Arabidopsis thaliana: one gene and its partner. The protein of the gene in region 2 interacts with the protein of the main gene of each other region in a pairwise test. Each region holds a gene or a part of one and is shown on either strand. Other genes may lie near its edges. The genes, in order: NAC3 and Prx37.

Region 1 (12,402 bases), on a different chromosome or scaffold from region 2:
AAGATCTGCATGCCAATCAACTAATTACCAACTAGTTTTAAATTTGAAATAAGAAGACAATTTCGATAATCTGGATTTTAATTATAACTCTCTAAACAAGTCCCAAGCTAAAGCAAGTGGGATGCCAGGGCAATTCAAACATTTAATATATATTTTTTTTTGGTTTTAATGTGAAGAATCAAACATTTAATATATGACTATTATGCATATTGTATAACAAAAACATGCGTGGCATGTATCATGTATCATGTATATTACATATGTTAGCAGGTTGGTAAATTTCACTCTACTACATACAAGGTGTTTAATAATAGTAAACCTAACTTCAAACTTTTTATTGTATTTAAAACTTTCCTCATAAAAAATCTTTATGCAGAAAAAACGACCTACTTTCAAATAATCCAGTGTGTGAACATTTGTAACCATAGTTTTCATCATGTGATACCACACTTTTATTCTATTTAGAAAAATATCTAAGCCAAGTTAAACATCATATTACACGGTCTTATGTAACGTGACATGCCAAACATCGGACGATTGTCAAACATTTTGACAAAAAAAATTCTTTAGCTCAAAAAAAAAAAGTGCTATTTCATTTCAAGCATCCATTAGATTCAGATTTATTGATTTATATGATATCTGAAACAGAAGCCAATATGATGTGTAGACGTTTATGATTCCATCGATAAATTTATTTAAATGAAATAAATGTAAATTTAGTTACAAATTAGGTTGTTAGTTAGTGATCACTCAATTTAAGTTTTAAGACACATGCCTTTTAGAAACTAACTCGGATAATTAAACTGTTCTATTTTTCAACGTGTTTAATTTGAACCTTTTTTTCAAAAGAATATGCTTTCGAACTGATTTGGGTCTTTCCCGGATATAACGAATTCATCGGCTGTGAACATAATATACTCCTTTGGGGAAGATATATATAAAAAATGGTGGATATATAGTATAAGATTTCGAGACATCTTACAAAACATTTGGTCTGAACTCTGAATTGATCTTATAATTACATTATTTTGTGCAACTTACATATTAATTAGTCAAATTTCCAAGAGTTGAGAATAATATTAAAGAGAACACATGAATCTTATGACATCAAACAAAGCTACAATTTTCTTTTCTTATTTCTTATATACAAAACGGATTTGAGAAAAGCTCTTTTTGCATGACCCTTTTAATTTTTTGAATGCGTGCTCCTGTATTTGTTTCACGAAGAAAATGCTGTTAGTTCTATTTTTTCCAATTAAATATATGTATGTGTGTGTGTGTTAAAATGCTAATTTTGTGATTTTTCTGTAAAATTGGACAAAATTTTGACGTAGATAAGTTATAGCAAGAATCCAAAAAACGAAGAATTAACATAATTAAGAAACTTGGAGATTGATTTAAGTAATCAAGTTCTAAACAAAAAAATAAAGAACACGTAATAAAAACACTACTGCGAGAATCTTATGAGCTTGCGATATGGAAGATCAAATTCTTCATCATCCCACCACGTACGCACCGTTCAAACAAATCAGTGTCCGATTTGTTCGTTTTTTTTTTTCTTTTTAAAGCCGAAATATTAAGTAATTGGTATATCACATATTCACATGTCACATGTGTTCGTTTTAATTGCATACAAAGAATGAAATGAAAAAATGAAATTAACTAAAAAATCTTGTGTGCCCCAATGTTTGATTAGATAATTATTTGGCCATCCCTTTTCACCAAAAAATTCCAACTCGGTCCATATATTTTTGACATGTAAAAAAGATGTATAAATACATAGCTATATTTTCCCTATAACCATATACATCTTGTTAAGTTGTTATGTATATATATGCTTATAATTTATTTATGAAGTTGTTGTTAACTATTTTTCAAACAATTTTCGAAATTTATGCTTTTTCTTAGTTGGAATCATAGTTTTAATCTGTAATCAAAATGATATAAATCAGTTTTCAAATCACATGTTTTTTACTGATATCTTCTGAAAACTAGTCATGTCTAATACGTACAACTTAACGTAAGTTATACGTAAGTATTCCTTAGAGATATGATCTAGAGATATTAATGGCCATGATTAATTATGCCTGATGAAAGAATCAATCAAGTAGATTAAGACATGATTCTGCTGAGACTTTGCTTTATTTTTTCTTTCTAATCTTTGTCTTTAAGCTTAAAATGGAAAGTGATTAAGGACCTCCTCAATTGTCTGCTTCGTTAAATATACTTTGTTACCTTCTCAACGCCCCGGAAGGTCACACAAGCAACGGTAGAATCACCCAGCAACAAAAAGTTTGTCTAGGTTAAATGTATTTTATATCGCAGATGTCATTGTTAGATACTATAAGATATTGCATTACTTGCATGTGTGAGATATTTAAAGACTGATTGCTTAGTCTGAAATCACTCGTAGATATTATATTTACGGTTGCACTCGTTTGACATCAATTATAACCAGTTTACTAATAATGGATGAAGCTTTAAATTTTCTCCAATAAAAAAAACTTTCTCCATAGAACAATTGAGGTCGCGAAAAATGAAAAACTTTGTTCTTTTATAAAGCACTTTTGAATTTTATTTCGAAAATATATTTGGAGTCGAAATTTTTATAACAAAATATTATGCACTTATATACACAGTACCTGATAATCATCATCTCATTTTGTTCAGCCTTTTGAGTTTTTAGATTTATTTTTCATTAAAGTTGTAGTCAAGGAAAAAAAAAAGGTTATACTCAAGGATTTTTTTGTATCTATGTACGTTTATTTTTGTTTAAAATATAAGTTGTCAAAGAAAATAGTCTGATTTCTCAAGTCTCGGTCAGTACGAAAATAATCACGATCAAGATAATTTGCGTTCTTTAACAAAAATATAATTGGATACATATATAATTTGCGTTTCCAATACTCAGGCCCATTGTTAAAGAAATACATAGGCCTAACTGAATCCACTTTTTGCGTATGGCCCAACACATACTCAAGTCCTATATAAAACATTAATTACCATATGGACAAATTTTCATTTCTTTGAATAACACGTTAATTTAGATTTTGGTTTGGAATCTTCCAGTTATAAACTACCAAAAATCATAAATTATTGTATAAATCATTTGTTATTACGCGTAAGAACAAAATATAAACAAATGATTTATATTAATTTCATGTTTTGACTTTTTACAATAGATGCATGGCAAAAAATAAAGTACTAATATACATCACTAAACCCCATGCCATGCGTAATTGCGTACGCGCCTGTATTCGTTTACTGATTAATCACATATGGACGAATGAATGGTTATTTGTTTAGACTTTAGCGTACAATAACATCTTGATGAATATGGACCACAAGTATTTCTATGCAAAATGGTTACAAAGTATTAAACTCAAAACCTTCGTTTTCATGTATTTACGATAGAATATGCTATTCTAAGGGGTTGCGTAGAGCTTCGTCCAACAAAATTTACATGTAGAACATTAATATTTTCTTCTTTTTAAATTGAAATATTTTCACATCCAGCCACCTTAATTATCAAACTTTAAACGAAAATATATATTTAACAAACTCATTTCCATCTCTCGTTTTTCTGCGATTTTAAGATACAGAAAGAAAATTATAGTTTCGCAAGTTGTTTGAGTAGCCAAAAGTTTTTGTAAGAAGAAGACAGTGTTTTTATTTATTTTATTTTTGGATTATTTAAGAAGACAAAAGATTTCAATGTAAACAAAGAGAACAAAGAATTGGTTTGACAAAAGTAACTAACAATCGCCCAATGATTTCTCTTAATTCGATTATTAGGGTTTTAAGTGATTTAGAAAATAAATATAATAAGACGTAAGTTATAGCCAATTCTTTAAATTCCATAAACTCTTTAAATTTCAATGTAATGGATATTCATGTAGACTAGAAAGAAAAACTCCCTAGCTAATTTCGGTGTAAAAATTATTTTTCACAACATTTATCTAATTAGTTAATCAGATAAAATCTATTTAAATTTTGATTATGAAAATCTACTTATACGAACAAAAAGCGTAGATGTGTTTAAAACTTGTACGGTGTGAATTGTTACTATTTTAGGAAAGAAATGATTCTAAACTAGTCAAACAAGCAGCCCATGCTGACTCACACGTGCAATTTCAGGAAACCCCAAACGGTCCGTTCTCTGTTCTTATCTTCAAACCCCAATTGGTCTTTAAGATTTGGCCATCTAATACCATCACTATCCTTTTCCCATTAAACAATATAACATCTTTATCCATATCCTTTTAAATATATATATATCAATTTCTCTAACAAATTTTGAACGTTCTTTAAACAGCTGTACAATATTACTATTTCAAACCTTACGGCTTGCAAATGCCATTGCACATAAATGAATATATACACAACTATCGCGTGCGAAATTTCTTTATGCCACATGTGTTTATATAAATAGTATTTTTATATTTTACAAAAGTATACTAGTGCTATAGGCTAGAAATCATCTCAGATAAACATACATTTTTGGTCATGTTCGCTATGATATGGTTACCGTCATCAGCGAAAGATGATGACAAATCTATTGTTCGTTTTAGCTGGTACTAATATTAAACGATGAGCGATAGCGAGCAAAGTCATATTCGCTTTATGGTTCCTAGATTATCGATATATTATGGCGATTAATATAATAAATTATGAATCGCTGATTCGTTGTTAATGATAATACTACATGATGTTGACACAAAAATGTGTCATGAATGATAAGGAAACTTTCACATTTCTATCGTTTATCGTTAGCAATAGCAAGTACAAAACTTATAGATCCAATGCAATATCTGTTTTTCTAATAAATAATTGATCAATACAAAAGTTCCAGCTATAAAAGTTTACAAAAATGTAAATGTCAGGACAAATGACGACGAATATACAATACAAGTCGTAGAACCTAAATCTAACCCTAGAGTTCGAATTCTACGCTATATTAATTAACTAATCTGACACGGACAAAAAATAAAAATATGTTTTTCTTATTACGTTACCATTACACAATCAAATAAACCCGAACCCACTAGATTGTTGACCCGAGTACCCAAATCCGTTAACCGGGTCAACACTAAAACCCTGATTAGCCGAGACGTCCGAGTTATTATTAAACCGAGGAATCCCCTCAGTTTGTTGCTGCGTTCCACCGTCACCGTAACGAATACTCGGAACGTTATGACTCAGTCCGAGTTCCGGGACCGAGTTCTGTCCAATCAAATTCGCCCAATCAAAACTTGGCTCCCTGGCTAAACCCTGAAACCCGGTTTTATGATTGGTTAAAACCGGTCTATGACTATGAGGCAGCGCGTTTGATGAACCGGCGGCAAACCCCAAACTTCTGTTGTCAATCTCATGCAACGACTCGAGAACGTCGTCGTATTGATGAGACGAAGAAGATGTCGACGAACCATTGTTGCTGTATTCACGACCACTCGTCATTAGATTATTGTAAGCTTGTTTTTGTGCGCTTGTTTGCTTTTTGTATATTCGACATAAAACCCAATCATCAAGCTGAACATAAAAACAGTTTAAAATATGTTATTCGTTGAACAGTATAATTACAATTACTATATACTTATCTTTTTGGATACATCATGTATTTAACTAAATTTATACCTTGGTGCTTCCATTTCGACGAGAGGGTTCGATGAGACGGTACTCATGCATAATCCAATTGGTTTTGGTTCCTTTTGGAGCTTTTCCAATGTAAAACACCAAAGCTTTCTTGATACCAACTCTTCTTCCCTCCGTCGAGATAACTTTATCCGTACCGGTGGCTTTCCAATAACCCGACCCGGCAACCCGATTAGGTCTTGACCCGTTTGGATACTTCCTATCCCTCGGGCTGAAAAAATACCATTCTTTTTCACCGAATAACGCCTTACCTACAAAGAACCAAAAAGACAAGTTAGAAGAGAAAAAAACATAACTAGCTACAAAGAAACCAAACACGGTTAAGGTTATTAGGTTATACGTACTTGGTAAAACCCATGGATCAAACTTGTAGAGATCGATTTCAGCTATGAGCTGGAGAGAGAAGTCGTGACCGGCGGCTTTTCTACAGAGATATTCAACCATCAGCTCTTCGTCAGTCGGATAAAACCGAAAACCCGGCGGTAAGCTCAATTGGGCTAACGGGTCAAGCTCTTGGAGACCCATTTTTCCTATCACCTCTTTCTCTAGGACAAAGAAAATATCTGCACTTTTTATAGAAAACAATCACAAAACTATCTTCTTTGATTTTCTTTTTTGTATTCTGAGATTAAAGATTTCGAAGCTCTGCTACTCGTGTATGTATATATATAATATAATATTACACCGCCGCCCAATCTTCGTTAACGTGCAGCCTCAATACGGGTCCCACTTTATGTTTATCATGACACGTGGATCAATTAGAGCGTCGTGATTTATGCGATCCCTTTGGTTCTTTGAACCTATACCATAAAGTTGATTATTTATATTAGTAATGTTGTAATATTGTGTGTGTGACTGTACCTCCTCTTATGATTTTTTTTTTGTATTGTCAATGGTCTTCCCAAGTATTAGGGAGTTAACTGAAAGTAATTTGCGAATATTTGTAAGTTCAGAAAAACAAATTAGGTGATTCTTAAGACTAGTGATTTTTCATGCAATTTACGCGGTAAATTTCTATGAATGAGTTACATAACAGTGACAATCTACGAAAAGTATTATGAAAAATAAGAAGTATTTTTTTTTTAATGGGTATGTGCCAAATTGTTTTTTTTTGGTCGTCAAGAAGAAAAAACACGTGTAAGTGAATGATGGGATGAGTTCACTGGATGGTAACATGGAAAGCGTTTTTCATACGGATAGAACTACCACAAGCCGACACATGTCTTGTGTCTATTGGTTGAGTTAGGCGGGATATTTTTCTTTCGTCAAAAGCCGTTAAAGATCAGAGAGAGGGACAAACAACAAACACGAGTTGATGATGCAGACTCTCGTTATTTTTCTATTTGATCCATATGAGACTGTAATTTTTGATTGAAATCAGATGAAACTGTAATTGTGAAACGATAGTATACAATCAGAGGTACCAAGAAATTAGGCTTTTGTGGTTGAGAAATGGGAACACAAGATTTTCGTAAGTCCGTATAACACAAACACGCTTCTCTTCAAACACTTTTTTGTGTACGTGAAAAAGGAACATTTTACCAATTGAAAATAAAGTTCAATTACAATTTTCTTGCAAGTAGATTTATATTTAACCAATTTATGGCGGTTTATTGATTAACATATTTATTTAAGCATTCGAGAACGTACGTGATTTCAATCATGATTAACATAGTTGAGCTTTGATTCATGGTTCTCGATTTTTTTTTAAAATAGGTAAAACAGGAATCTTAGTTAGAAGTCAGATCGTTTATCAGCAAATTTATCGTAGATATATCATATATGTATGTAAGTTTAGGCTTTTTTTTTTTTTTTCTTATTCATTGAATTTTTTGGCTTTCTACTGATAGTTTTTTCTCGGTAAAAAGTTAATTAGCAAACTAGTAGCCCAAAAAATGAAAAATAAAGTTAATTAGCTAACTTTAATTGATATCTTGTGATCACATGTACATGGTGCTGTAAAAATAATTCTAAGCGAATATAACAAGGAATTTGGGGTTTCTTACACTCAATATCTTTCGTGTCACGGTGCATTTGGTGTTAATTCGTTTCTATTTATAATGGTTCTCTTCCATTAAAGATACATCAATTGGTATAGAACGGGGTGATCAAAGTTTTTTTAAAAGCTTTTGTTCTTCTCCTTTTCGGGATTTTTTTGTTAATGTTGGAAGATAATATCCACACACAGGTCTTTAGTTTTAGATAACTAATTAACATTATGCTATTTTAGCGATGTCATGCATATATCATAACGTGTATGTCATGCATATATCATAATTACATAACGTGTAACCCCGTAAATTTGGGTCAAAATACAAAAGTGTATTAAGAATTGATGACGTGGATATCAAGGTGGTATAAGTTTCAACTTTTGACATGTGAGTTTAGTTAATGGTTTGCTGAATAAACCATATGGCTAAACCAATAAACTTCCAATAATAATATGAATATCACACTTATTACAACTTAACCTCAATCTTCCTATATAAAATCAAAGTGCGCCAATGAAATTCGAACTCGAATGCTTTACATTGTAATGGTATAATTATTTTTCTACCATATATAAAATTTGATAATCTGGAGCACCATGAGCTCCCTCCACAAGCATAATCCAGTAAATAGTACAATATCCCCAATTGCTAAAAGTGTTGATCCATCAATTAATTAATAGAATCAGTCTTGCTTTACATAAAGCTTTATAATTACTATGTCTAAGCATGTTAATTTTGATATTACGTGTAGTCTTACGTATGTTTAAGACATATTTTTTTTTTAAGTTCAACCATTTTGTAAAACTTTTGTCATACACATGTATAATACATTTGCTACATATGTGGATTTTTCTTATTCAGAATATATATATTATGACAATAAATTACAACTATTTAGTTGTTTGTTAAAATACTAGCTAGTTAAATGAAATAATGTTTCCCTTTTTTATTAAATTAATTTTTCTTTTTTTATCGTAATTTAATATAATGATTTCTTTTTATTTTTTTCGATTCTAGAAACATATTTAATCAAACACTATAATAAGAATATTTCTAAACATTAAGCTACTGATAACAAAGAAAGTTTCGATTTAATATATATATATATATATAGAAAAGGTATAAATTTCGATAAGATCATATATAGTATACTAAACTCTGAAAAGCTGATAAATATTCTCTCCAACTTGTGCATATTATACGTCTTTTCATATTCTTAAAATAGAATAGAAACGAAAAAGGGGGAATCAAACAATGAAGATGACCATCGTAGATCAAACCCCCACTTCATCCAACTATATCTTATCTTACAAGTTTGATTTAAGTAGTTTGTATAGTTTTCTTTGGTATAAGAAAATATATTTTTAGTTAGTTATTAACGAATAATTGTAGGATAAATCATATTTAATCACTATTCACTACTTATGGCCAATTATATTTTTTTATTTGTTATTGACCTTTTTGTTTTCCGTTCCTGATAAGAGTATATGGATCGGATGATGTTGTTGCCAACATTTTTAACTTTTTTTATAAACGCTAAACATGAACAAAGTCGTTTAGTAGGTCTGTTATTGATATTGGTCTGTTTAGTGTTTAGGTATCGATATATTTCTACAGCCGATAAAGTATGTAGGATTTTTTAAGCCCAACAAAGTTTCAGGCCCACTAATTTTTATTGTTTGAAATAGGTTCATTTAAGCTTGTACCAGATACGGAGTCCTAAATCTCTTGAATTCATGCAATTCTGAACCGAAAACTACCCAATAATCTTCTAGATGTAGTATCATATGAACTAATTCAGTTGAGTATGTGATGAAATGAGAGCAAAAACGATTATATCTCAATCTCAACAAATACTGCATAGCCCATTCATAGTGTTATGTAAATAACTAAGTCGTCGCATGGAATTTTGGAGACCCACTAAATTTAGCGAGAGTACCATTTCCAAGCATCGAATTGTTTTACACACGACGGTGTTTCACATGTACCATTTTCACATTAGATAATTTTACTTTTAGCACGACGAAACAATTTATATTCGCTGATAAATAAGTCTCAAATCTGGTGTGAAAATATGAAATTCTTTGGTAACTGTTTCTTGAATCAATTTTTCACCCATATTTTTTTTTTTTTTTATATAAAAAATTGAAATAATCTACGGGTAAGAATACAAACCCAAAAAGATAAATTCTGTTACAAAATATTCCTTTGATATCTTTCACTTATATTGAACTAAATATTTTTATGTTTATATTTAATACTATAGATCATGATTCATTAAAAAAAAAAAAACTAAATTAGGATATTAGACTTTTATTGTGAGAAGTTACATATCATTAATGAACATAAATTTTCAAAAATCATATTTACAAAACTGAAAGCATTATAATGTTATGTGATGTTTTGGCATCATTGTTATAAAATTTGCATCAAGAGAGAAGTATTCTAGGAAGGCATAAATAAAATAATGATATTTATTGACATTAAAATTAGAAAATAATCAAATACTGTATACTATGAAAATATAACAAAAATTGTATATGCTGCGTTTTTTTTCTTCCTTCTTTTACAGTAATAAGATTTTAATTTTTAACCAAATAACAATCCCAATCAAACTCTTATCTTCTGAATGATCGATCTCTTCCCTGAGACTCTCTAAGATTTGGATGCAAAAACTTAGAATTCTCCTTCATAACTTTCTTTCTCCGAAGAGCCCTTTTCATTTTCTCAACCTTCATCGCATCAGAATCGGCAATGCCGAGATCGTCACTTGAAGCCAAATCTTCACTTATTGAATCCGTAGAAGTAGTGATGTTGGTTTTGTACTTATGAGAAAGTTCCCTTACAATATGTGTAATTTCATCTCCCCGCATATTCGTGTTTAGAATCTTGACTATCTCAAAACCCACGACGTTTCCTTGGCGCAAATCTACACACTCTTTATCAAACTTAAGCCCAAATCTTTGAACGAAGAAGCTCCTTATGTGTTGAAGATCCTCAAGCTCGCCAATTCTTGATGCAGCAAATATAATTCCGGCCATTGCTTTTTTAGTTTCTTCCGGTAACAGATCAACATTGCTGGCGAGAGAAACATGCGGAAATTAGGGTTTACGAACCGTTTTGGTTTCCTTATGCTACCGTATGTTACAAGATATCAATAACAACTTACTTTTCATATTTCAAAGAAGATATATTCTGCAAGATGGTTGTGCAGAAGAGCTCAACCTGATCATATGCCGATAACCTTCTCTCATCTTCATAGAATTGCTTCGCCTAGAGTTTTAAAATTTGCAAATCAGAATAAGAAAGATGAATCAAGGGATAATAACCAACAAATTAAGTGATGTGATAGAGATTTTGATCAAATAAGCAAAAATCTACCAGGTGATTGAGATTAATCTCAGATACCTTAGGAAGAGCTTCTGAATAGCGACCATAAGAAAGGAGCTGAGCGATATCGGACCGTGATTGTCTGACCATACACTCTCTTCTATTCCGATGTAAGTTAACAGAACATAACAGATTTTGGATATAGAGTTTGCTGCAAACAAGACAGATTAATTAATTAAAAAAAACTCGAAACAAAAACGAAATCTTAACCGTGTAAAGCAAGTAAACCAAGATTCTTACCACTTCGAAGCTTTTCGCCATCTTGAAGAACGAGACCGAAGAACACCAAATATGTTAAAAAAGCACCCAAACTTTGATTCTGGTTTCTTGGCAAACATGATTTACTTTCCTCTGTGAAGAATGTGAACAGATTCTTATAAGTAAGGCCTAATAATGAGATGTGAATATATATAGCAAGAAATCTACATATATTATCCTTAAAAAGTGGTACATTAAAGATAATTACTAGGAGGATTTACTTTGTGTATTAAATCTGGAAAACCCCGCATTTTCCTTTCCAATATGAAATGTGAAAATCTAAATGCATTAACGTTCCTTGTATTAACAGATTCATCAGTAACTTAACTAAAGGGAATACAAAAAGCATTTCATGAATCATGAGTTTGCAATATTCCATTTATTAGAGGCGGCAATTTAATCGTCGCCTGATATTTTTTAATCAAGATTTCAGTTTTAGTAAGGACAATCAATGAAATCATCGTTGTGTTATAGTATCAAAATTGCAATATACGTACCTATTTTTTTTTTTTTATACCTATGTTTACTAAATCCTCCTTTCTTAAGTAAAATGTTTTCTCTGTTTTGTAGCCCATTGGGAATATATATCGTAGACTAAATTCAAAATTATCGATCTTAAAATAAATAAATTATTTTCCATATCAAACCGATAACGAAACAAATATTTACTGTATCTTTTAAATCATTTATTATTTTAAATCTTTAAGAATTGAATAGAAAAATTAATAATCTTTTCTTGTCAAAAATAAAATAAACTTAATGATCATTTAAAGATATATACATATAGTATAATTATCCCAAAAAACAAAATCTGTAAAAAGAATCAGTTTTTACAAGCTAATATTTGTAGTCTTGTAGTAAAGCTAATATAAATATTTATTTTGGTTCTTTTTTTTTCATTAATAACTTAGGAATTTCGAACCAAAACTCAAACTAATTTTTTGGATAGGTGCAAGTCATTTTATGTCTATAGTCGTAAAAAAAAAAAATCGAACAATGATCTTTTACTCGTAAATATAAAATTAGTGGAACACCATGATTAGTTGATCTTTTACCAGAAGATATAAACTACTCTCTCTGTTCCTAGAAAAATGATGTTTTGAGTTTTTCA
Region 2 (13,303 bases):
AAGCCTGCTCGATCCGAGATCAAGTCAAGTTACAGAAGAGAATCAACCGATCGATCCAGAAGTTAGCGTGATCGATCTAACAAAAGAAAAAGTTTCAGACAAAAACCGATCGATCGATCCAGAAGATTGATCAATCGATGCAAACATTCCAGATAGAGATGGATCTATCGATCCTGACTCCAGATCAATCGATCAGGCTGAATCGAGTGACTCGATACCTAAAAAAACATAAACAAGTGCAGAATCTAACTTTGAAGAACTTGGGGTTGGTAAAAGAAAGAGGATGAGGCTCGTACTTCTAGAGCCATATGTCACATATTCGGGAACACAACTTGATAAACCCCCTCACACTTCAACTGCCTCCATTCAAATCTCCTCAAGTAAGTGTCTCTATCCTCTCACTGATTATGTATCAATTGATCGGTTCTCCCCTCCTCAGCAAATGTTCCTAGCTGCAATAAGCGCTAATTCATAACCAACTTCCTTTAAATAAGTGATGAGTGATCCGCGATGGACTAATACAGTTAAAGGAGAGGTTGGGGCTCTTGAAAAGAACCAAACGTGGGATATAATGTCGTTACCGGAAGGCAAACATGCTATAGGTTGCAAGTGGGTTTTCCGAATTAAGTACAACTCTGATGGATCCATAGAAAGGTTCAAAGCTCGTCTTGTTGCACTTGGGAATAGACAAGAGGAAGGAACATATTATAACAAAACTTTTGCTCCATAGTAAAGATGACGACAATTCGTACACTCTTGAAAGTTGCTTCTGCTCGAAATTGGGAATTATTTCAAATGGATGTTCATAATGCGTTTTTACATGGGGATCTAGAGGAAAAGATATACATGAAGCTTCCTTCGGGTGTTGAAAATGTGGATCCTTCACAAGTGTGTAAGCTCAAAAAGTCGCTTTATGGGCTCAAACAAGCTCCAAGATGTTGGTTTTCAAAGCTCTCAAATGCATTTATAGAATTCGGGTTTGTGCAGAACTACACGGATTACTCATTTTTCACATACTTCAATGGGAACTCGTGCTTGTATATCTTAGTATATGTGGATTATTTCATCGTTGGAGGCAATGATTCCAACTTAACTACGGAGTTTAAAAGGTATATGAGTGAATGTTTTCACATGAAAGATTTAGGTCCTTTAAAATTCTTTCTCGGATCAAAGTTTCTAGAGGAAAACAAGGGATATACATTTCGCAACGCAAATATACCTTAGATATTATATTTGAATGCGGGCTGCTAGGAGCTAAACCTGTTGATACTCCCATTGAACAGAATCATACTCTCGCCAAAGAAGATGGTGAATTCTATTCTGACCCAACTAAATACCGCAGGTTAGTTGGTCGGTTGGTTTATCTTGCTATTACTCGACCGGACCATTGCTATGTAGTTCATCTTCTAAAGCAATTTCTCGGACAACCACGTACACGTCATTGGGAAGCGGCTGTTCGTCTGGTACGATATCTAAAGGGGACTTGTGGTCAAGGCTTATTGCTAAGCAAGGATGATGATCTTCATTTGAATGCCTATTGTGATTCGGATTTTCAAAAGTGCCCAAAAACACGTCGTTCACTGTCTGGTTATGTTGTTTTACTTGGAAAATCTCCTATATGTTGGAAGACAAAGAAGCAAGAACGTATGTCACTTTCTTCCGCTGAAGCCGAATACAGAGCTATGGCTTATACTTATCAGAAACTCATATGGCTCAAGGAATTGCTTCTTATCTTTCAGATTCCCCATCCAGAACCAATAATTCTTCATTGTGACAATAAGGCTGCACTACACATCGCAACCAATCCGGTGTTCCATGAGCGTACGAAACACATTGAAAGAGATTGTCATTTTGTTCGCGATGGGATAAAAGATGACATTGTGTCTACTCGACATGTTCGTACGAAAGAGCAATTGGTCGATTTTCTTACCAAAACCCTTGGTCGAAAACAGTTGCAGTATCTACTTGGCAAGATGGGTGTTCGAGATCTCCACTGTCCATCTTGAGGGGGAGTATTAGAGATGGGCTTAGAGGAAAACAAAGATGATTAGAAAATGGGCTTGTACGAAGCCTTATTAGTTTGTGTATTAGGTTTAAACTCGACATGTACACATATATATTTGTATCGTCACCTTCAATATGAATAACACAACAGAATATATTCAGAGCAATCTTTGACTTTACATTAAGCGAGATGGAGCAACGCCATGTAGGAGAACGATGAGCGGAGCTGAAACATGAGACGACATCAAGGATCTTTGGGCTGAGCCCGAGAATAGATCTGCCCACGGGTGGAGCCGAGATTTAGTAGTAGTCTTTTCAGAGGGTGGAAACCTTCCAGTCCAACCACACACACCACCGTTAGAGGCTGTGAGCTTCACCTCGATCTCCATTCGATGGTTGAGAGTGATGGAAAACCTACCATAAAAAGAAAAAAAACGAAAACAAAATTGAAAAGAGAGTATCGCAGGGAATCCCAATGTCGACGAGCCATAGCTTCATCAGCTTTGGAGAACTGTGGCAAGGAAGCTTTCTCGATTATGGTGCATGGGTTATTTTTATAAAATGGGTTTTTTCTGAAATTATTTTTTCATTGTTTGTTAGTTATGAATTGTGATTGAAATTTATTTTTTTTTAAAGATTATTTTAGGATTATTTGAAAAAGGAAAAACGCTTTGAATTACATTTTATGTAATTTTACCTTCAATTTGCAAAATGTAGATCAATCCAAGAATATCGAATTTTATTCGTAATAGAATTCTTTATCACGCATTTCAAGTTTTTAAAATTTTGATAAATAATATATTAAAACGAATTTTTATGATTATAAATTTAAAATTACTCTTAGATTAATATAGAAAATTTTAATGTATGTATATGTAAAAAAGCTGTTAAAAATATTTATAATTATATTATAAATTAAGTTCGAATTCATAGGTTTGACCCGCATTTATTATAAACTAGTTAAGAGTAAACAATTACAAAAAAAAATAACATTTGAAGAGTTGTTTTCTTTTTCTTTTGCAGAACATATTGTAGTAACAATAACAAAACTAACGACATAAAGTGTTTGAAGTAAATAAATCATTATATTTTTAATTATCTAATATATTAAGGATCTGTTAACTACTACGAAATTGCATATATTACACAGTGAGCAGCCTCTTTAATTTGACGAAGTAAATCAACATGTTTGGTTTGACTTGCACCCGGTTTGCTTTCTTCAACCCATTTTATTATATCTTATCGGAGTTGGAATCGGGACTTTTGGTGTCATATGAAAGACTGACTAGGTCATCAACTTTAGTTGTCTTATATTTATTGATAAATATGAGTTTATGTGAACAATGCAAAATGTTTTTAGGCACATAGTTTGTTTTTTCTTTGTAGCGGTATGTGTTCGACACATTCATTTTTATATTCTTGACTAACAAAACCAATATAGTTTTACGATTTGGATAATCCAACTTGATTAAAGACCTACGCTTTATTCTCTGTGTTTTTTTTTTCTCGCTTTTATGCACATGATTACTTTGTACTACATAATATATATATATATATATATATATATATATATATATGATTTTAATTATTTGCTTAATTACTCTTTTCCTTTTTCTACAATAATTGTTGAAATTTATCAACGTGTACAATAAGTTTATAAACTTCATGTGAATACATAAACATATATAGAAACTTACGTGAATAGCTATCACTAGCTATGTCTAACTTCAAGAGAAAACACTAATTTAGGTATATAACCATATTACAATAGAGAAAGTAAGATTAAGAAGAAGTAAAACCCGTTTTACTTATCCGCCACGTTCAACAATATCGACGTACGACCATTACTTAGTATTGATAATTTAATGTTTCTTTCATTATAGGTAAAAATAATTTATGGATTCAAGGTTTAATAGTTATATAGAATTTAAATAAGTAACACAAAACAAACAAGGAAGTAAGAAAAAAAGATAACATCTTGACAACATTGATAATTTATTTATTGTTAAAGAAAAACATTTCCTCACATTGAGCTTGCAAATTCAAGAGCATCTTCTACCACATCCATGATTTTAGATTTCGAATTCACCACTCTACAGTTCAATCTTATTTCTCCTTGTTTCCCTGTTAAAGGTGAAAGACTACTCATCCTTATCATTGCCTTCGCGAACGCATCGAAAAATTTCCCTTGACCATCAGCGTATTCTCGGACTAAAGGAAGAGTGTCTGAAGCATCAGGGCTAGAGAATAACTCTTGGTCGCTCTGGATAAGTCCTTTGTTCTCCTTGAGGTTCACATAATACTTGTTGTCAAAGAGTGTTGGCGTACGTAAATCAAAATCTACCAATACACTCTGGTTTCCATTACGTGGACATTGTTTTCTGAGTGTGGAGAGGTAAGATTTATCAAGGGTTGGGTCGGGTAAACCAGTGTTACTGAAGTTATAAAGCCGATCCATTATGAATTGACATTGGTTTTTGCCAAAGGTGTGACCACCTAACCAAATGAAAATATAGAACGAATAAATAAACTTGACCAATAATCATATTGAGTTATTAGTGACTACAACTATAGATGAAAATGTTGCCAACGAAATAACGTACCAGAAAGAGCAACGAGATCAGAAGCACGGTCGAGTCCGACGTTTTTGAATCTATCCTTAAGTTGGTTAAGGGTAAAGAATGGAGCTGGAAGGTTATCATTAGCAAGATCCATGAACCCTCTTAAGCTGTCTCTTCTTCCATTTGGAACCCTCCATGAAGGACCTCCCGCCTAAAGTAACAATTATATTTGGTCTAATTATCTCTCATCTTCCTTATAAATTAAACAAAATGGTCTAGAAACCATTTGGATAGCATAGTAAAAGATGCATACCAAAACGACAGATTCTTGAGCCGCGATGGCGAGCAAATCAGCACATGAAACAGTTTTAGGACATGCTTTCTCCACGGCAGCCTTCATTTTGTCGATCACATCGAAACCTCGAGCGGAATTAGCGTTCCCAAACGCATCTTTCTCCGTCCTAAACGATGTGGTGTTGTCTAACAATATCGATGCATCACATCCCTTTTTCAAAACAAAATATTTTTCTTCACATTTAGTAACTAACAACATTGTTTACATAAAGAAAATCTTAACATCCGTAAACAGTTGATCTTAGATTCTTTGAATTTAAATATAAACAAGTTATACTACTACATGTATCACACTATCGATAGCATAATCTTTTCACGTGAATCCGAAGACAGAATATTTGAAATCCAAAAAATATGAGTTCACTATAAACATCTTCGAGCATACTTTGACACAGAATCTGAAACTCGAGATAAGAAAGCACTACAATCTATGTAGACTTGTACTAATAATATCAAATTAATGTCTTTGAGAAGTTGTTGGTCCATTTTATATATAGCCTCTCCAGTCTCCATAATTCAACCAAAACTAGTCAAAATAAGTATAATCAAACTTCCAAAAAAATAATTTAACTAAAAAGACATAAATTTTGTATGTAAAAGTAAATTTCTATTGTTTTTGTAAATTTCTTTCATTCCTGTTTTTTTCAATTTTTTAACTAACTAAAAGAAAGCCAAAATTTCAATAACAAAACTACCAAAATAATTTCACAGTTTGAAATGAATAAACCATGAAACAAACTATTTGAGTCGAACAACAAAACAAAAAGTCTATCACATTTTTATATCCTAATTTCAAGTTTATAATATCCATAAAGCATTCCCTCGCGCTCTTTATTAGGGCTACACTATAGGGAACCAAAAGAGTTAAAATATACATGAATATATTGATTCTAATGGTATCTTACATTAACAAAGCAGTCGTGGAAATGAAGACGAAGGATGCTTGCAGCGATGCGAGGGTCCGATCTTAGAGCATTGACAATGGTAGTGGTTGCAATGTCAAAGACTTGCGGACATGTTTTATCGTAAAAGGAAGGGCTTAGTTGAGCATGAGACAATGATACCTGAATAAGAAGAAGAAGAAATCCCAATTTTATCAAAGAGGAATGCATTTTCTTAGCTCTTTTAAGAGAATTATTTGGTTATGGTTTAATTTGAGTGAATGTAGGTTTGTCTTAACGATTCTTTTTATAGGCCAAGGTTCTAGCTTGGCGGCTTTTACTTTTGTGGATTATTTGACATACTTTTATTCAAGTTGTGTATCCGTGAATAGTATATTACATATGGAATGTTATACTTTGAATAAGACATTGTTATTTGTTGAATGACTCTGTACAAAGTGGTTTAAAAGCATCTGTTTTCTTTCGGCTACTAGGTTTTAAAGTCTAAAAATACTTTAATTATAGCGTATTCTTATTCAGAATCTCTTTATTTCACACTTTAAATACATTTAAACTTTCTCTTCTGTAAATAGGGTTATTTATCAGTGTTTTCTATTGAAATTAGACGTTTTTATCTAGCCATTCACGTAAGATTATGTATCCATTTTTTTTTTTGGCTATACCAATACTGTATGTTTATTATTTTTTGTGCATATACAGTAAAACTTCTATAAATTAATAGTATTAGGACTGCAAAATTCTATTAATTTAAAAAGCTATTAATTTATCGATAAATTAATAATGTTATAATTTATTAATTTATAGAGAGAGTTTCTTAATTTCATAACTTTTTTAATTTTCAATGAAAATATAAGATTTTTTTACTAAATAAAATATCTTTCTAGAACCATTTACATGTACAAAATAATTTTCATGTCTAGTAAACAACACCAAAATACTTGATACAGTAAACATATTAGAATTAAATTTAAACAAAAGCTAATATGAATTTAAGCAAAAGAAACATTACTAAAAATTATATTTCATTTGATTTTTTTATATTATTTTATAATATTATGGTACTATATGTATACATAGCATTTTTCAAAAAAAATATTATCATTAAATTTATCGATTGTATCTCTTTTTACATTGGTCCCAATTTGGAATCGGAAAAATATATTAATTTATAGAGTATTAATATATGGAGGTTTTACTGTATACTTGTCTTTTGTGATTTGTTTTAACAGTAATTGTTGGGAAAAAAGAAGGAAAATAATTGTCTTTTGTCCAAAAAAATAAGGAAAAGAATTGTAGAAAATAAGGAAAAGAGTGGATAAACTTGTAAAATTATGTATGGTATATTAAAAATTAGTCATGTAACACACGACGAATATTTGATATTTAGTAGTTAAACCATTTGGTTACTGAAAATATAGAGATTTTAGAGGATACTGATCTGCGTTAGAAAGGATCTGCTCTCCAAAAGAACGTTAATTTTATTTAGTCTTGGAGAGATATACGAGTAACGGTTTCTGAGCATCCTAACTATTAAAAAAATTGAATCATGTGTCTAAAAGTGAAGAAAACACATAGAAAGAAGCAAAGTGCATGTCTTTACTTATATTGGTTTTGTTAGGCAAGAATATAAATATGAATTGAAATTGTAAAGATGAAAATGCAAAAAGTTCTTAGAAAATGGGGAATTAAAAAAAACTTAGTGCTAGCACATATCAATACAAAAACAAAACATGTGCTAGCACTAAGTTTTTTTTAATTCCCCATTTTCTAAGAACTTTTTGCATTTTCCACATAAACTCATCTATATTGATTATTAAAAGACGACTGAAGTTGATGACCTAGTGGCAAGTCCTTCGTCGTATGACACAAAAAGTCCTAGATTCGAACCAAAAAAAGAGGACAATGGAGTGGTTGAGAGACCCACGAGACTAATAATGAAATGAAAGAAAGTTTCATGGTTTGACAAAAGCAAGCCGGGTGCTAGTCAAACCAAAGAGGCTGCTAGTGATATCATTCGTCAAACCAAGGGGGCTGCTGTAATATGTGAGATTTGGTACTTAGTAGTTGAATCATAGATATATTAATTAATTGAAAGTACTTACAAGAAACTTTCACTACAAAAACATTATTCGTAAACTAAAGAGAAGAAAAAATAACATTTTTTCTTTGTTTTGGTAAATGATTTATGTTAATAGAGTGTTTTCTGGTAATTCTAATTAAACTAATTAGAATAATCTAACTTTTACCCTATTACAGTGTGCATTTTTTTGTTCCGTTTTTTTTATCAACAATATTTAACATAGAATCCAACTACAACGTATATATAAACAATAAATTTGGAATTCCATGATATATATACCCTTGTATCGAAAAGAAAAATCCATGAAAACTATACTAACTATTATCTTTAAAATACACAATCTTTTTTCTTGCACTTTCAGAATAATACGCCAAACAGTTGAAAGACATTAACAAAACGTTAAATCTCATACATTTTTTCAATTTAAAAATTTATACTAACTATTAATCAAAAAATTGTGAGTGTCTACCAGCATTTCAGACCTTGGCATTATCACCAATACTAATAGTTCCGGAAGTTTTTCTATTTTCTTGGGTCTATGTAAAGATAAATTATTGACTTTGGAGAACACTTTTTTTGGGTTCTTTAGTTCTAATTTTTCTTGGATCGTACGGTATATTTAGAAATCACGGAATGAAAAACTTCACGAGAATATTAATCGAGATCCAAGGAACATTCTCCCATTAACGGAAAACGAAGCCAATGTTTAGACGTTAGCTCAATTGGAGCCAATGGCAGTTAAATCGGTTAATATAAATCCTTCAGGATATCATTGTTTCATTGATTACTCCTGTAAAGAAACTGATAAGTTTTTGCGCATGGGATGGTTTTATACATTATCAAATACGGACATCCAACCATGGGTGTTGCCAACCTACGTAGAAGTTTCACATGTCTACACACAAAAGTGGAAGCATTTGTCTAGGTAATAAGATGTATGATTGGCCAAAACAAACGAAAAATGACGTTCTATACAAATTACTCAGATCTAGTGAAAATGGTAACTAATAAAATTGTCGATAAAAAAAAAACAAAAAATAAAAACAAAGAAAAAAAAACAAAAACAAAAAATTATACTAAAATTAAATTTACCCACATATACCATTAATTAAAGCATTACCTCGAATAGTAATAACGCCAAAAACAAAGGAATGTCGTCTCCTCACACTCTTTCGCTCCTCATTCCTTCTCTAAACATCTCCTATTCTCTCTTGACACCGTTGATTCCAAATCGAGTAGCTAGAATATAGTCACCGCTTTTTATGTGTGTTTGTCACTTTCAAACATCAAGTTCGTCATCACGGTATAATTATACCAAAACTATAAGCTTTCGTTACGTTACTATACATACCCGAACTCAAGTTTTTTCATGTTCATACCCAAAATTGTAGATAATGTCGAAAATCTACATTGATCGATCGTCAAATCATTATCAAACCATAAACAATGCCAAGTCATCTCCTGAGTCACATATATATGATGCGTCTAGCTAGAGCATTGTTGTTACTATGTTGCATAAAAACGGTCGGTTCAATTCTTCATTCTTCTCTTCTACTAATGTTGTTTTGCTCAATTTCTTACTCTAAACACCTAGTTTTACAAAAGAGGTCTAGTAACCTGTTAACACTAAAAAAAAACATCCACAACTCTATGTTTTTCTTCTCAAGTCAAACACTCTTGAACATTGTTACTACTATGCTTCTTATTAGACATTCCAAGAAAAATTTAATTATCACTTGTATAGCATAGGAATCAAATTGAGCATTGACAATTAAAGTGTTGTAGACTTTAAAACCTAGTAGCCGAAAGAAAAAAAACAGATGCTTTAAACCACTTTGTACAATTCCATATGTAATAGACTATTAACGTATACACTACTTGAATAAAAATATCTCATAATCCACAAAAGTAAAAGCCGCCAAGCTAGATTATTCTGCCTATATAAGGAATCGTTACGAAGAAACCTAAATTCACTCATATCTAACCATAACCAAAAACATTCTCTTAGAGAGCAAAGAAAATGCATTCCTCTTTGATAAAATTGGGATTTCTTCTTCTCCTTCTTCAGGTCTCATTGTCTCATGCTCAACTAAGCCCTTCCTTTTACGATAAAACATGTCCGCAAGTCTTTGATATTGTAACCAATACCATTGTCAATGCGCTGAGATCAGACCCTCGCATCGCTGCAAGCATCCTTCGTCTTCATTTCCACGACTGCTTTGTTAATGTAAGATACCACCAGATTCGATATATTCATGTATATATTAAGTACTCTTTTGGTTCTTTGATGGTTTTATCCTAAAAAGTGAGAATGCTTTACGGATATAATCATATATATGAAAGTTGGCCAACTCTCTCCATTTGGGTGACACATCATCACACAAGAAAATGACATGTGTCATTTTACATTAATTATAAAAAAAAAATTAGTACAACTAATTGAGGAAAAATCAAAAGTCTTTTGTTGTGTAAATTCTCTATTAATCTCACTCTTAAATGAATTTTCTAAAAACACTCAATAAATAAAAAATCATAACAATGTATAAAGTACTACTTTCATTCTATTCTAATTATTTTTTTAATTTTTTTTATCAATAGTTATTAATCCATAATGGCTAAAATTTACTTATGTTGTAGTTTAGATGTTTGCTACCTAACCTCATATTAATTTAGTAATTTTAGTTGGATATTTTCTTATTATTACGTTATGTGATTATGATTTATCATATGACCTTCTTTCTGTTTATTTTTGTGCGTTCTAATAACTTCGTAACATTGATATACAATTTTTTCACGTAGTGGTCATCTGAGACATTAGACATACCCACACAAAAACACGAGACTCTATATGGCTATATGAAAGGGAAGAGAATTAAAGTGTTGACTTAATTTACTAGCATATCATGATGTGGTTGGTGTAGTAGATGACAAAAGAATATATGGAATAAAAAATTGTTTGTTACAATTAAGTTAGGCAAGTTTCAAAATACATAAGTAATATAACTACATATTAATATATCATATAATGTTGTTGTGTGTGTTCATGATAGTGAAATATTTGAATAATAGGTATATAAATATTTATATTATAATAAAATTGATATTTCGAATTATAGATAAATTTAATCATAGAAAATTATAACTATATAAAATATATATGAATTTATTAATTACACATTAACATACACACACAAATGAACATCAAAATCAACAAAAGACTATAATCATATATTCCGACAATTTTAAAAACAAAAACCCATGCGTAGCATGAGTGTTCATTTAGAATAACGAATTAACTAATAATAACAAATACGCAGGTAATATTATAAACATTGTATATATAAAGATCATAAGTTTATATATTATCTATATGTGGTGTAATCATATGTATAAAAGTTGGTCAACTCTCTTCATATGAATGACACATCATCACTTAGTTTTTGCCTAATGTCCACTTAATAATTAATGTAAGTTAATGGTTTATGGTGATTTATTATTTAATTGTATATATTATAAAATTTTACATAATTAATTGTATCAAGAATAATTTTCTTTTATTTTGTATATCTTTTTCTTAAATTAAATTATTTAATTGATTTTCTCATACTCTTGGATATTTTTCCCTAATTTTTATAATTTTAAGTCAAAATATGATTAAATAATTGTATAGTGGATTAGCTCATAGTTTTTGTAGTTTGTTCTTTTTCTATATAATATATGAAAAATGGTGAGAAGTACTTGAGAATTCTATCATCAAATTCTTGGACTCAAATCCTCTACCATTTTGTCTTATTGTTTTGGTTTAAGGTTAACACAGATGAAAAAAAATTCTGAAAATAATGTTTACTGAGAAAAGATTTTGTAAGGAATCTAAATGCAAAATGCAAAAACAAATGTTGATTTATGGAGCTTAGTATCAAATAGGATTTTTGTCTTCTTGCCTATTAAAAAACTAACCTAAAATCTTACATTTAAATACTTTTAAATTACGAAATATAAAGTGAAAGCCCGCACGTATTGCGGGTACTCATCTAGTTAACTTGAAATAAGGATAGACATTTCGGTTAGTTCATTTAATGTCTAATTAATTAATTAACTTGAAATAAAGATAGATTAATTATATAATAAAAAAACTGAATATTGATACAGTTATTATCGTCACAATAAAACAATATTCAGTCACAATAATTTTTTTATGACGAAAGTGAAACGTATTTTAGAATGTCACAATAAAATCGTCACAAATCCATAAAGGTCTTAAAAAGATCACAAGACGATTAACAACAGTAACAATTCGTCATTGATTGTGACGACGTTAATATAGTCGAATAAACAGACACAGTTCGTGACGCACGATACTGTCATAATTTTTGTCACAATTTTTTCGTAAAAATATTTGATTTCTTTTTGTCTTAATAAGATACTTAAAACTATAGATTTCTTTTGATTGTTTGGTTTTGAAATTTTGGCTTTCTTTTGGTTGATTAAAACAATAGGAAAAAAAAAACAGAAGTTAAATAAAAATTCAAAGTAACAAAAAAAGTTATTTCTACATCTGAAAATTTATGCGTTTTTGGATAAATTATCTTTTTGGAAGTTTGATTTTGTTTGTTTTGACTATTTTTTGGTTCAATTTGGAGTGGCTATTATTTTCTATGGACCAACCAAACCACTTCTTACGGAAATTGAGATGACTATTTTATTATTACAACTCTATATAGATATTCCAGTGCTGTCTTATCTCAAGTGTCAGATTTTGTCGTCAAAGTAAAGTCAAAGATAAAATTCTCTTCGATTATTAGATAATAATTAGTGAACTCGTATCACAAAAAACAAATAGTGAACTCATATTTTTCTTTTTTGGATTATTAGATTACATAGATGTCTTTGATCAACAAAAAAAAAATTACGTAGATGTTGTGGCGTAGTATAGTAGCGCATTAATAACTAGATTTACTATTTTTCTTGCGGTAAAAAGAGAAAAACAAATCAGTAGATGCAGGTAAAATATATCTATGTGGAAGTATTAACTTGATCTAACACTAATTGACAATAAAAATATTTTGTTTGGATAAAGGGATGTGATGCATCGATATTGTTAGACAACACAACATCGTTTAGGACGGAGAAAGATGCGTTTGGGAACGCTAATTCAGCTCGAGGTTTCGATGTAATCGACAAAATGAAGGCTGCCATCGAGAAAGCATGTCCTAGAACCGTTTCATGTGCTGATATGCTCGCCATCGCAGCTAAAGAATCTATCGTTTTGGTATGCATCTTCTACTATGCTATCCAAATGGTTTTTGTAGACCATTTTGTTAATGTTTAACCAAATATGTTTACTTTAGGCGGGAGGTCCTTCATGGATGGTTCCAAATGGAAGAAGAGACAGCTTAAGAGGT

The links.
Region 1: the proteins of Prx37 (region 2) and NAC3 interact in a two-hybrid assay, tested with the Arabidopsis thaliana proteins (one large-scale study listed by BioGRID).

What each region holds. Positions count from the first base shown.
Region 1 is NC_003074.8:5,228,506-5,240,907, reverse strand, and holds NAC3 (NAC domain containing protein 3), read right to left. Parts: upstream 6,452-12,402; 5' UTR 6,178-6,451; coding exon 5,997-6,177; intron 5,904-5,996; coding exon 5,635-5,903; intron 5,530-5,634; coding exon 5,026-5,529; 3' UTR 4,712-5,025; downstream 1-4,711. Other genes in the region: AT3G15490 (Regulator of Vps4 activity in the MVB pathway protein), read right to left, coding at 10,262-10,721, 10,813-10,916, 11,052-11,123. UniProt on the Arabidopsis thaliana protein: Transcription factors that bind specifically to the 5'-CATGTG-3' motif.
Region 2 is NC_003075.7:5,594,232-5,607,534, forward strand, and holds Prx37 (Peroxidase superfamily protein), read right to left. Parts: upstream 6,168-13,303; 5' UTR 6,032-6,167; coding exon 5,825-6,031; intron 5,071-5,824; coding exon 4,879-5,070; intron 4,777-4,878; coding exon 4,608-4,776; intron 4,501-4,607; coding exon 4,028-4,500; 3' UTR 3,806-4,027; downstream 1-3,805. Other genes in the region: AT4G08780 (Peroxidase superfamily protein), read left to right, coding at 9,922-10,128, 12,979-13,170, 13,250-13,303.